Linked DNA regions of Oryzias latipes. The protein of the gene in region 3 purifies or fractionates together with the protein of the main gene of each other region. This does not show direct contact. Links are inferred from orthologs where the notes say so. Each region holds a gene or a part of one and is shown on either strand. Other genes may lie near its edges.

What was found.
Region 1: the proteins of kat8 (region 3) and phf20 purify together in Homo sapiens (affinity purification with mass spectrometry; 3 studies listed by BioGRID and IntAct, counting the BioPlex papers as one, with this or other methods). This does not show direct contact. The link is inferred for Oryzias latipes from reciprocal best matches to the Homo sapiens genes KAT8 and PHF20.
Region 2: the proteins of kat8 (region 3) and msl3 purify together in Homo sapiens (affinity purification with mass spectrometry; 4 studies listed by BioGRID and IntAct, with this or other methods). This does not show direct contact. The link is inferred for Oryzias latipes from reciprocal best matches to the Homo sapiens genes KAT8 and MSL3.

What each region holds. Positions count from the first base shown.
Region 1 is NC_019863.2:26,153,450-26,157,088, reverse strand, and holds part of phf20 (PHD finger protein 20), read right to left. Parts: intron 2,846-3,639; coding exon 2,657-2,845; intron 2,468-2,656; coding exon 2,372-2,467; intron 1,705-2,371; coding exon 1,549-1,704; intron 1,233-1,548; coding exon 1,051-1,232; intron 968-1,050; coding exon 868-967; intron 1-867. UniProt on the Homo sapiens protein: Methyllysine-binding protein, component of the MOF histone acetyltransferase protein complex.
Region 2 is NC_019860.2:20,774,419-20,778,740, reverse strand, and holds the start of msl3 (male-specific lethal 3 homolog), read right to left. Parts: upstream 2,863-4,322; 5' UTR 2,733-2,862; coding exon 2,634-2,732; intron 2,300-2,633; exon of another isoform or gene 2,218-2,299; coding exon of another isoform or gene 2,194-2,217; exon of another isoform or gene 2,171-2,193; intron 1-2,170. UniProt on the Homo sapiens protein: Non-catalytic component of the MSL histone acetyltransferase complex, a multiprotein complex that mediates the majority of histone H4 acetylation at 'Lys-16' (H4K16ac), an epigenetic mark that prevents chromatin compaction.
Region 3 is NC_019866.2:2,389,698-2,393,931, reverse strand, and holds the start of kat8 (histone acetyltransferase KAT8), read right to left. Parts: upstream 2,896-4,234; 5' UTR 2,815-2,895; coding exon 2,496-2,814; intron 1,530-2,495; coding exon 1,455-1,529; intron 1,379-1,454; coding exon 1,200-1,378; intron 1,128-1,199; coding exon 1,074-1,127; intron 990-1,073; coding exon 825-989; intron 250-824; coding exon 160-249; intron 1-159. Other genes in the region: E3 ubiquitin-protein ligase RNF25, read right to left, coding at 3,355-3,978.

The DNA.
Region 1 (3,639 bases), on a different chromosome or scaffold from region 3:
GCATTATACTGGGAGTCTCTGAATGATCACTTAACCCCAAACATGTGCCTGCAGACACTTTCGTGGAGCTCTTCACAATAAATAGGATTTCTCAACATCATCCTTCTGTGTCTTCCATTTGAGCAGTGAATTGACATTGTGTTCGTCAAATTCACTGCCTGACACTCGTCCAAAAGTGTGTCCATAAACCTGGTGGATGCCTTGACGCATGTGGGAGGAGCCATCGCCAAAAGTTTTTAGCATCTTTGCTACATGTGAACTTAGCATTATATTCACAGCAATTGATGAAAAATAAAAATAATGCTATAAAAATATACAAATTTTTAAAAGACATCATCACGATACCCAGATGGCCGGGACAATTGGCCAAATCTTGCCCTGATGCATTCATAATAAGCACTTTGAATGAAGCAAACAGCCAGAGCTAGCCGTTTCCTCTACACATGCGAAATGACCGCATTGTTCCAAGTTTAAATGTCTTTTAGCAAATCACAGTTCACTACTAACCAGTTTTAACCACTAAGAGTAACCCCCATTTCTCCACTTTCTAAGCGTGAGAGAACTAGGTAGTTGAGGTTAAATGATTCATGACCAGTTCACGACCTTACTGACACAGCACATCCTAAAAAGTTTTTTTTAAAGACAGGAAGTCGCATCGCGTTGACCAGAAAAAAATTTAAGACCATTCACGACAACTTAATATTTTAGATGGCCTTATTTTGGTCAATTAAATCTAAGACCTTAAAAGATTTCATCAAGGATCCGGGGCCACCCTGTAAGCATTTAAACTGGATTTAAAAAAATAAATTAAAAAAAGCAAATATGACTTAAGGCATGCTACCACTGCTTTGTTCTTCCTTCGTTTACCTGGAGGGTCTCTGCAGATGTAGCATGTGTATCTGTCCGGGACGTTGTCCTCCAGCAGACCCATGCAGGTGCCGTGCTGCCAGCACAAACAATCTTCACACTAACACAGGAGAAACATATTTCACCAACTGAAAGGCCGTGTCCCTTAAAGCAAACCTTTGGAAAAGTAAACTGCCAGCTCACCTGAATCATGAAGTCATTCTCTTCCTCCACTTCACAGATACATCGGACAATTTCTTGATCGTTTGTGTCCACGGCACCAGAGTCTGTGCTAAGAGGTGGAGTAGTGACGTCCAAATCCATGTCGAAGTCATCATCGCTCCACCCGCAGCTGTCAGTGGACCAGTCACTTATGCTGTCCTCGTCTACAGGAACCAACACAAAAGGATTCAGTTTAACCCGATTGAAAACTCTGTTAAAAAAAAGTGAGCTCTAAATAAAATCTGATTTATGTGATTAAGCAAGCAGGAGCAGCAAGCAGCTCAGGCTTCAGCCCACCATGCCTTCCTATGGGAGCGGCAGCATTTGTTTTAAGGTGGAGGAAGATTTGTCACATGGTGGACTGAATCCAGAGAAAACAGAAGAACGTAACAAGAGGAGCCAAAGACGTTCACAGAAAGACACAATCTGCACAAACTAACACACACACACAGACTCTCACACCGTCACAAAGGTACCCACCATCCACATGTATCTGCTCAGAGAAGCTGTGTCCAGGCCTGCTGGGGTAGGCCTCGGGTTTGTGATTGTGTGAGAGGGGGGGTTTGAGTTGCAAATTCAATTTGGAGTGAAGACCCAATACTGAAATGTCAATATTCTCCTCACTACCTGTGTGGTCTGTTAACACAGGGAGGGGGGAAGCAGATGTAGAACAGAGAAGTAAGCTTTGAAAATGCTCAGCGCCCAGGAGGAAAACGTGACAACAAACATTTGATTAAAAACTTCCTTCAAAACGTGTCCTCTAAAACATTTTTAAATCCAATAAAACTAAAAATCCCAGAGCCCCACCCCTTCACATCATTGAAAATCCCCAAATGTTCTCTGTAGATATTATAGTGAGTTAATTCAGTAGTATGCAGGGGTTGGGAGATATTCAGGTTTAGAAGTGTCCTCTACAGATGACAAACTTTGTCAGGAGGATATAACACAAATTCATCAAGCCTCCGGCCAAAGGAAGCCAGGCAGGATGTACAACAATGTCCATGTCAACCCTTCAAATATGTATGTGTGTGAGTGGATGCCAATAAGAGACAGAAAAAAGTATTTTCTTCTTGATTAGTCTGCATTCGAGCGGCAAAACAACTCTTATTATTACCAAAACTTAGGTTCTAAAATAAACTGTGGCTTCTTGAAGACTCAGACCAGCAGGACACACACAGAAGCTCGATCAGCACACAGAAAGGAGTGAATGAGGTGCTTTAACTTTGCACACAATGTCACAGCCAGAGCACATGCAGGGCAGCAGCTTTTCGACCTCGCCCTGTGCCAGGGACCTGGTTCTTACCAGACTTGGCTTTCTTTTTCTTCTTCTTCTTCTTGAGTTTAATGCGGAGGAAGTCCTTCTGTTTTGGTTTCTCCTTAGTTTTGTCTTTTACAGACCCTGGAGACCATTGAGTGAGAAGAATTAAGCCCAATCCAAGTAAAGCCAAGATAATTCCACTGGTACTTGAATAGAAGTGTATCGTACGAGGTCAAACCAACGATGAACAGCATGAAATATGTATAAACAAAATAAAAAAAAGGAATCCTTTTTTATTTAAATAAAAATGACACCCAGCATCATACTGACCAAAGTCAAAGCCACCCTTGTCTGAGTCCTGCAGCTGGCAGCTGATCCTGTCCAGCTGGTTCTCTTTGCTCTTCTCCCTCAGCAGCGCCCTCTGCTGTTGACCATGCGTGCTTACTGCAGGTGGTGCGGATGTGCGCCTGCCAGCAGTCTTCACATCACCACGATGAGCTGCACCCCCCACAGTCGAGTCTGTAAAAACCAGAAGAAAGGTCAACACGGGGTTAAAACATGTTTGGTGAGCCCCTTTTTTTCTTTCAATGGTTACATAGACTTATTCTATTAGACCAAACCTGGATTAACCAGCCTTAAATCTGTGGATTTGGTAAAAATAAATAAATAAATAAAAACTCCATTGAGAATCCCACGACTTATAACTGAAAATACTAGAGAAAATATGAAAAAAGGCATTTGATGAATACAGTGTTTTGTCATTTATCACAGGGGTTATGTTCTAAAAATAACCCAAAATAAGTGACATTTGCAAAGTAGGAATACAGATGTTTTAAGGCTGTAAATTATCTTTAATCCTACACTCCTCTTTAAACACTTTTCTCAGACAGACGTGGACATTTTCACACTTTTCTCGTGCTTAAACTCTCAAAGTTCAAACCTCCTTAGAAAAATTAATCTAATATTATAGAATAAAAAAGATTTACTCGGGATTCAAGATTTATTTAGATTTGGCAAACTGAGCACATTCTGTACAGGAGAGACGGCACGGATGAGATTGATCGAAAAGATAACATATTTCCGTGCATATTTCTTATTCTGATGGTGATCAATGTTTCTTTGACATAAACAAAAGAAATTGTAAAGCATTTCTTCAAATGTATATTTACAGATGTCCATCTTCTTTATTTAAATAAAACTTCACCAAAACAACAGAACAAACACTTAAAATAAATGATTGGAATAATGCTACATGCATTCTTTTTGAAGGATAAAGTGAAGGGAGTTTATTGATCCCACAGTGTATTGTAATA
Region 2 (4,322 bases), on a different chromosome or scaffold from region 3:
CTAATGTGTATAAATTCATCCAGTAGCTGGAATCTCTGCATGTCAAGAGTAACACGTAGGTACAGTCAGGACCATAAATATTTGGACAGACACACATTCTTTCTCATTTTGTTTCTGTACATTAGCATAGTGAATTTTACATAAAACAACTCAGATGCCATTGAAGTGCAGACTTTCAGCTTTTATTCCATGGGTTGAACAAAAAGATTGCATAAAGGTGTGAAAACCTAAAGCATTATTTAAACACAATCCCTTCATTTCATGGGCTCCTAAGTAATTGGACAATTGACTTCCATGCTATTGCATGGGCAGGTGTGGGCAATTCCCTTGTTATGTCATTATGAGTGAAGCAGATAAAAGGCCTGGAGTTGATTAGAGGACTCGTGCTTGCACTTTGAAGATTTTGCTGTGAACAGACAACATGCGGTCAAAGGAGCTCTCCATGCAGGTGAAAGGAGCCATCATTAAGCTGAGAAAACAGAAAAAAACCATGCCAGAAATTGCTACAGTATTAGGAGTGGCAAAATCAACAGTGTGGTACATCCTGAGAAAGACAGAAAGCACTGGTGAACTTAGCAACACAAAAAGACCTGGACGTCCACGGAAGACAACAGTGGTGGATGATGGCAGAATCATTTCCATGGTGAAGAGGAACCCATTCACAACAGCCAACCAACTGAACAACACTCTCCAGGAGGTAGGCGTATCAATATCCAAGTCTACCATCAAAAGAAGACTGCATGAAAGTAGATACAGAGGGTACACTTCAAGATGCAAGCCACTCATAAGCCTCAAGAATAGGAAGGCTAGATTGGACTTTGCTAAATAGCATTTAAAAAAGCTAGCACAGTTCTGAAAAACCCTTCTTTGGACAGATGAAACCAAAATCAACCTCTACCAGAATGATGGCAAGAGAAAAGTATGGAGAAGGCGTGGAGAAGCACATGATCCAAAGCACACTACATCATCAGTAAAACACTGTGGAGGCAGTGTGATGGTCTGGGCGTCCATGGCTGCTAGTGGCACTGGGACACTAGTGTTTATTGATGACGTGACACAGGACAGAAGCAGCCCAATGAATTCTGAGGTGTTCAGAGACATACTGTCTGCACAGATCCAGGTGAATGCAGCCAAACTGATTGGGCGGCGTTTCATAATACAGATGGACAACAACCCAAATCATACAGCCAAAGCAAGGCAGGAGTTTATTAAAGCAAAGAAGTGGAATATTCTTGAATGGCCAAGTCAGTCACCTGATCTCAACCCAATTGAGCATGCATTTCACTTGTTGAAGACTAAACTTCAGACAACAAACAGCAACTGAAAGCCGCCTGGCAGAGCATTCAGAAGGAGAAAACCCAGCATCTGGTGATGTCCATGAGTTCAAGACTTCAGGCTGTAGTATGACTGCCAACAAAGGGTTTTCAACCAAATATTAGTAATGACCATTTTGTTTTCAGTTATGTCATTTGTCCAATTACTTACGAGCCCACGGAATGAAGGGATTGTGTTTAAATAAAATGCTTTAGTTTTTCACATTTTTATGCAATCTTTTAGTTCGACCCATGGAATAAAAGCTGAAAGTCTGCACTTCAATGGCGTCTGAGTGGTTTTATTTAAAATTCACTGTGGTAATGAACAGAAACAAAATTAGAAAGAATGTGTCTCTGTCCAAATATTTATGGTCCTGACTGGATATTATAAACATTAAAATTATTCCTATAGTAATTAAATTTTATGTCACTAAAGGGCAAAAAAGGACAGCAAAATCGTAAAACTGACCTAAAATAACGTAAGAAAGCCACAAATCAAGAGTTACATTAATAACGACTAGTAAATATATCGGATTTATTAGGTCACTTATGGCCAAGTTAGCACGAAGCAGCTAATTCGTGAGAAATACGGTTTAAAACCTCTGTATATCCCATGCATCTGAGCGAAATTAACAAACAATAATTTCTTTTTTATTTAGGCTAAAATAAAATTGAATGTCTGCGTCGTTTAAAAATGATCGCGTTTACCAGCAGGCCTATGCTAGCTGCTAGCTAGCGGACGTTAGCATCGGTTTCCTTCAGTGCCCCGCTTTCCGTCATATATCTGCCGTTTAGCATTAGCCTGGCGGTGCTACAGTCATGCAATCGATGCATATGGCGAAAAAAAGTTAAAATACCGATGTTTGGCGTCTTTTTCCACCTCAGAAACCCCACTGTGCTGCATGAAACGACAGCGTTGTTCGGGTTAGCCGCGCTGGGTTTGTTTGTTTGTTGACACGCTGAGGTCCAATTTGATTGGACGAAACGCCACCGTGCTACCTTCCTGCTCCAAAACCGATCGATTAGTGCGTTTTGGGAAATTTGCATACAAATAACTCTTCAAAAACTTAAACGTGTGAGTTTTATATGCATAAAATGCTTTATTGGGAGAGTTTCAAGAACTTATTCGGAAGCTGTTTTCCACACGACAAATCTAAATCAAACGTACCCGGAAAAGATGCGACAACAATTACTATTGACAGAAAACGCCACTCATAATAAAACACAAGGCGCTTTTTAAAACCCCATTGCAAACATAAAGCCGTTATTACAGTGTAATTACTTATATCAATGCCCGCTAAAGTTTGCGGAAAACGTTACCTTTGCGTCATATAGCACTTTAGCCTTGCTAGGGTCGGGTTCAAAGCACAGAACTCGTTCTCCTTTGTGAAAATGATATTTAATTCCTCGCGAATTCATTTGTTCATGGCGACGTGTGAGAGAGAAGACTTCGATCTGAAGCTACAAACTCCTTAACTCTTTCGTTTCCAAAACATTTCCCGCCCGGGGTGGTCTTCTTCTACGCAGGCTTCCAATAGAAGCAGGGTGGCGCTGTTGAAAACGGATGGTGCTTTCACTGGTGCTCGTAAATTTCTTTTATCATCCAGATGTTACGGAGAAGATTCGCTCTAATGGTTTAAATTTATGTTTAAAAACGAAGAAAATATTCACATTTACATTAGAGATGGACTAATATAACATCACATGCAGTAGTGACACTGATGAGACGTGTTTGTATTCATATAACATTCAAATTTCCCATAAATTCGAAAGCAACTTACAAAACTCCAATTCGATCAACAAAAACAGGTCTTTCACGGACACCGTACATGTGTAATTTCATAAATTGACCAATAGATGTCACAATAAGCTCACAAAAAGTCTACATAAAGAGTTTGAAAACTAATTTTTCAGAATAAAAAAAAATGTTTTTGTACAAACATGCCGAAAAACTAGAAGTAAAATTCGATATTTTGTCACACCTTTTCTAAAACAATGACATGTTTCTACATACAGTCACAATAATTATGTTAATTACTAAATTAACATATGATTATTAACAGTTTCTTTATCTGAAGTGGTATCTTACTTCAAAAGTCACATAATCTCTTAGAAAATTCTAATATTATGTCAAATCTAAGTGAAAGAAGGGACGACACTTATTTACTAAAATTACATAAAAAGATGCAAAAAATATCTGCAAAAAGTTTTCTTAATACCAAAATAAATAAAATATTTGGCTTAGTGATGCTAAAAATGCCGTCGTCATCTTATCAGTAAAACAATAGATATTTCACACTTGTTTATTTTAGAATCAGATTTCCTATTTTTCCAGGCTACAAGAAAATTGCAGTTTCATAAACAATTGATTTTTAGCACAACGTGCAAGTCCTGCAAATATAAACGATGTTAGTAAAAGATGTTGCCCAAACCAAACATGTTTTAGTAAATTAGTTACATTAATTTCCTTAGTTATTTTCTTCTTCTTCTTGTTAAAAAAAAGGATTAAAAAAGTTTTAAGAATGTATTATTTATCCCCTTTCTGACAAAAATGCCAAAACAAAAACATTATGATTAAAATCGCTAAAAACACTTCTGGACTTATAATAGATCAAGGTCAGATTATATCTGCAAATTAGGCAATTGTGGTCTGAGAAAACAATGCAAAAACATGCTAATGCTTGACTTCAGACTTGATAAAAACAAACAAGCAAACAAAAAAAAACAATCCCAAACATCTTTGAAAAGAAAAAAAAGTTTAACTCTGGAAAAAATTCTTGAAGTTTAGCAAAACAGGAAACGGTATTTGCTCAACCTACTAACACTCATCAATCAGAGAGCAAAGAAGGGAATGAAAAATTAATTGCAAGTGCAATTAATTTAAACATGAAACTATACCCTTTTTTTTAAGACAAAGGAGCTCCTTTAGTTTAAGTGTCTCCTCAAACATTTAAATTCAGAGTGATGTTTGTTCTGTTTTTGCTGTGGTCAATTGTTCTAGTGTGATGG
Region 3 (4,234 bases):
CGCCTCGCAGCGAGGAGACTCTGGTTTTCTCCACCTTCCACCCACAGTTGAATGCGAGTGTGGCCTCCAACCGACAGAGGCTGGGATAGGCTCCAGCAACCCCGTGATCCCGAAAGGGAATCAGCGGATTTGGAAGATGGATGTTTCCAGGACGCTCACCTTGTGGTCCCGCCCGTCCACCTCGTACACGGAGATGTTGCTCCGCCTGTAGATCTCCTTGCCGGGGGGCTGCCTCCACTGACAGTGAGACTGAAAGAAGAAGAGGGGGGGGTCAGACTTTCCTTGGTTTTCATCATCACGCTGCTGCGTCATGGAGAGCCTGAATGGAGGCAAACACGCGTGAGCGAACACAAAGCAGAACAGCAGCTTCCCGTCAGAAACAGCCGGCAGTCCGTCTGCAAAGACCGGACGTCTTCTCACGGCACAAGAGGCGTTTAAAGTGAACCAATATAATGTGTCCACAACTAAAGATAACTTTAAAAAATAAAATAAAACAGAAAATAATTGAACCCAAATACAGGAAACACGTCTATTACAAAAATATCTATTGCTACATTTCAGGAGCATCAAATGAAACCAGAACAGAATATAAATAAAGTCAGTTGTCTAGTTTTTTGTTTTACTTTTAGTAACTTTAAAGACCCACGGCGATAAAACTTGTTGTTTTTGGGGTTTTGAACATGTTTTTGTGGCATTTTTCTTATGATGAAAGACGTATAGAAAGATAATTAAACCTAAATTTGCCTTTCTCAGTATTTCTTTATTCAAATCGTTGTAAATCAGACAGCTGCCGATATGTGAAAGAGGACGAGAGCTGAACTGACCAGGTGATATCTGAACGTCTTCTCGTACTTCATGTATTTGAGACAGTACTCGCAGATCCACAGCTTGGGCTGCTTCCCGTAGTCTTCAGGAAATGGAGAGAAGTACCAGGCGTCAATTTCAAAGTTTCCTATCTGGATTTTATCCACGTATTTCACTTTGGTGATCTGTACATCCAAAGACGAAACCATTAAAGGGTGAGAAGTTCCACAGGCTGACAGTCAAAGCACACAGAGAGGACGTCCACGTACCGCTTCGTGCTCCTTCTCCAGTGCGGCTGTCGTCGGGTCCATCTCTGCGTACGTCTGAAAAAGGAAGCCGTTAAGCCGACACGACCAGCATCACTGACAGCCACGCCGCAAAGCAAACGTCTCCACCTTCTGCACGTGGTTGATCTCATCGTGCTTGCGCTTCTGGTTGCGTGTGATCTTCCTCTCAGGCTGGTCTCCCAGATCCCCAACGCCTCCAACCTCAGTGCTCTTCCTCACGGCGTCCTTCACCGTCTTGGTCAGCGCCAGGCGGGACTTTCCCACCCATTCGTCCAGACGGCGGTTGACTACAAGAACCATCAGATGAATCAGGTGAAGAGACGCACAGAGGAGGACCAGGAGGGGTAGCAGAAGTGTACTTACAGCCCACGTAGTGCACGTAGAACTCCTCCCTGCCCTCCTGCTCGTTCAGCCGGGACTGGATCACCTCCGCTGTGTCTGAAAACAATCAACAGATTTACAAACGGAGATTAAACAGGCAGTCCAGACAGCAGAATGTCATTTAAAAAGAAAAATAATGCTGTTTACTACATGCGTGGTGGTGCTTACTGGGATAGCTTATGCTTCGATTTCAATTCAGAACAAGGTACAGGGAACTTAGCGGACATTTGTGAGCCAACGGCAGCTTTCTCACGAGTTTGGATCGATTTCACAGCTTCGTGAAGATGAATAAAAACCTACTCCTTAAACACGGAGAAAACTCTCACATCGTGAGAAGTTATATTAATGAGCACGGTAAAGAGGCGTCACAGGTTCAAGCCCTTACTGCAGGATAATAAACTGCACTCGCATGTAATCACCCAAAATGAACGATCCTTTGAAAAATATCAAAAATGGCAGAATCACATGACATGTCTAATGGTGATTACTGAGTCTTCCCGCGAAAACAAAGGCAATCATTAAGACGTAAAATATTAATAACTTGCTTAATTTCCGCTCTATAGATGTATTTTATGTATTTCTGTGTTTATGATTGGAAGCTCTATCGTTTGTGGTCAGCATCTTTTGTCTCTGGACCTTAGAAATGTGTGGCCTGTGGTCCCTAATTAAAGCAGATTTGATCTTTGTTTACATCGTTGTTGTTGTGGTTCATCAAATGATGTCCAATGATGCTAACAGCTGATGAAATGCTAACAGTGTTTACAAACCAAACAGAAACAGCGAGCCAAACACTCAGTCATAAAAATAAAAAATAAATCTACTTTAACCTTTTATTCCTTTAAACTAATTATTTCCTTAATGACAGTATTGTTAACATGATCGAAGCAAAAATACACACCAGCTAGGCAGCGTTTTTTGTTTACATCCTCCCTCTCTAAATTGAGCATTTTTCTGCTAATTTGTTCATTTTTGTCGTCTACCGACTCACTGCTGTTGCTTTACCGGAACGGGAACTTCACTCACGCCATGTTTTGTCCGCTCTTTGACACAAATACGTCACTCCGATTTCCACCGACACCTCCTGCTCCCTCCCGCCGCAGAGCACCCCGCCTCCCTCCGGGGTGTGCTGATTACTCGAGGCCCCGGCTTCTCGTGTCCGGCCGTGGGCCTCCGCCTCGTCCTCCTCCCCGCCGCTGCCGTTGGAGGAGCACGCGGCGGGCATGCTGCTTTCCAGCTCCCCCCGCTCGTGCTCGGGTCGACTCGAGTCCATTTCCACACCGATTCGGGGTTCCGAGTCCTTATTGTTGCTGTAGTTCTTGTGAAAGGCGCTCCCGCCCGTCATCCCTGACGCTTCTGCGCAAACACGCGCTGCGATTCTGCGCAGTTCGACCACAGGTTGCCGGGGAAAAAAGATGGCGCCTCGAACGATCTCTGACTACATTTCCCACAAGCCCTACCGACTGACCTGTGGCAAACGGACCGTATATAACCGTTTGTAGTACATTACGTAGCGGTGCATATTCCATAAGAGTTTAAAAGCCTTTTCCATTTCTGCTCCAAAAACTGAACGTTTTAATTTAAAAATAGGTTTAACTACGTTAGAATGATCAAATAACACAAATGAATTTGTACAAAAATATCAATATAAAACACAATTATCACATCCACAAACATTTTTTAATCGCAGCTCTTTCAGGTCACATGGCATCACAAGGTAAAGCAGCTGCTGTCTGCAGCTGATGTTAGTGAGGATGAAGGAGCATGGCGGCGGCGAGGACAGTCTGAGGTTCCAGTGAGCGTCTCTTCTGTTGCAGGGTTTAAATCTGTGCAGGCTGACGATGGAGGCACACACATGTTGGCTTGACCCTCCTGCTGCCCTGTGTCATAGCACCTCCTCCCTTCCCCTCTCCACCACCCTCTGCTGGAAACCCCTGCCGTGACCCCGGTGGTGTCCGCCTCTGCTTCTCGCAGCTCGACCGTCCCAGTGATGGCGCCCGAGTCCAGGAGGCCCGGCGTGCTGGGTGGGTCGATAAGGACCCCTCCTCCTTCCACTATGGCTGCGGCCACCAGCGGAGCCTGCGCAGTCCTTTAAGCATTCGGATTCCACGGCGGATTGGAGCGAGGCCTGATGGTCGGGCAAAAGCTGCATCTCCTGTTGCGCTGCAGATTCCTCTTCGTCTGTCCTGGATCGGCCCGAGTCTGGGTCCCTGTGCGCCCACTGTTCAGAACCGAGCGGAGCTTTGGTCCTCAAAGGTGCTTCAGAGGACAGAGAGAGTTTGTCCAGGTGCTCCGTGATGGGGGCAGCTCTCGGATGCTGCGGCCTGGTCCTGCCTCCTCTCCTCGGCCCCCTCATCTGGTTCTGACGTCTCTGGCCCTGAACTCCTCTGGAGTGGGACTTTCCAGGAGGAAACGGATCCGCTCGCACGCTGCTTTCATTGGAGGAGGACACCGGGACGTCTGGAGGAACTTCAGCCTCCTGGTTTCCATCTTCAGCAGCAGGTGGAGCCTGAAACACAGATTTCTTTTTCCAGATGTGTCTGCTGTTATCAAACTAAGAGAGAGAACCTTGCTGCAGACATGATGGCGCCTGACATCATCGCCCAAAAGCGCAAAGTCCAGAAGGTGTGGCTCTAGTGTATTAAGTCTTCTAAACTAAACGTGTTCAGATTTGCAGAATTTTCTAAATTAAAAGGTAAAAACGGAAAAAAACATAATTGTTAGTGACGCCAGTTACAATAAAGTTTCTTTTCAGTGATATGGGG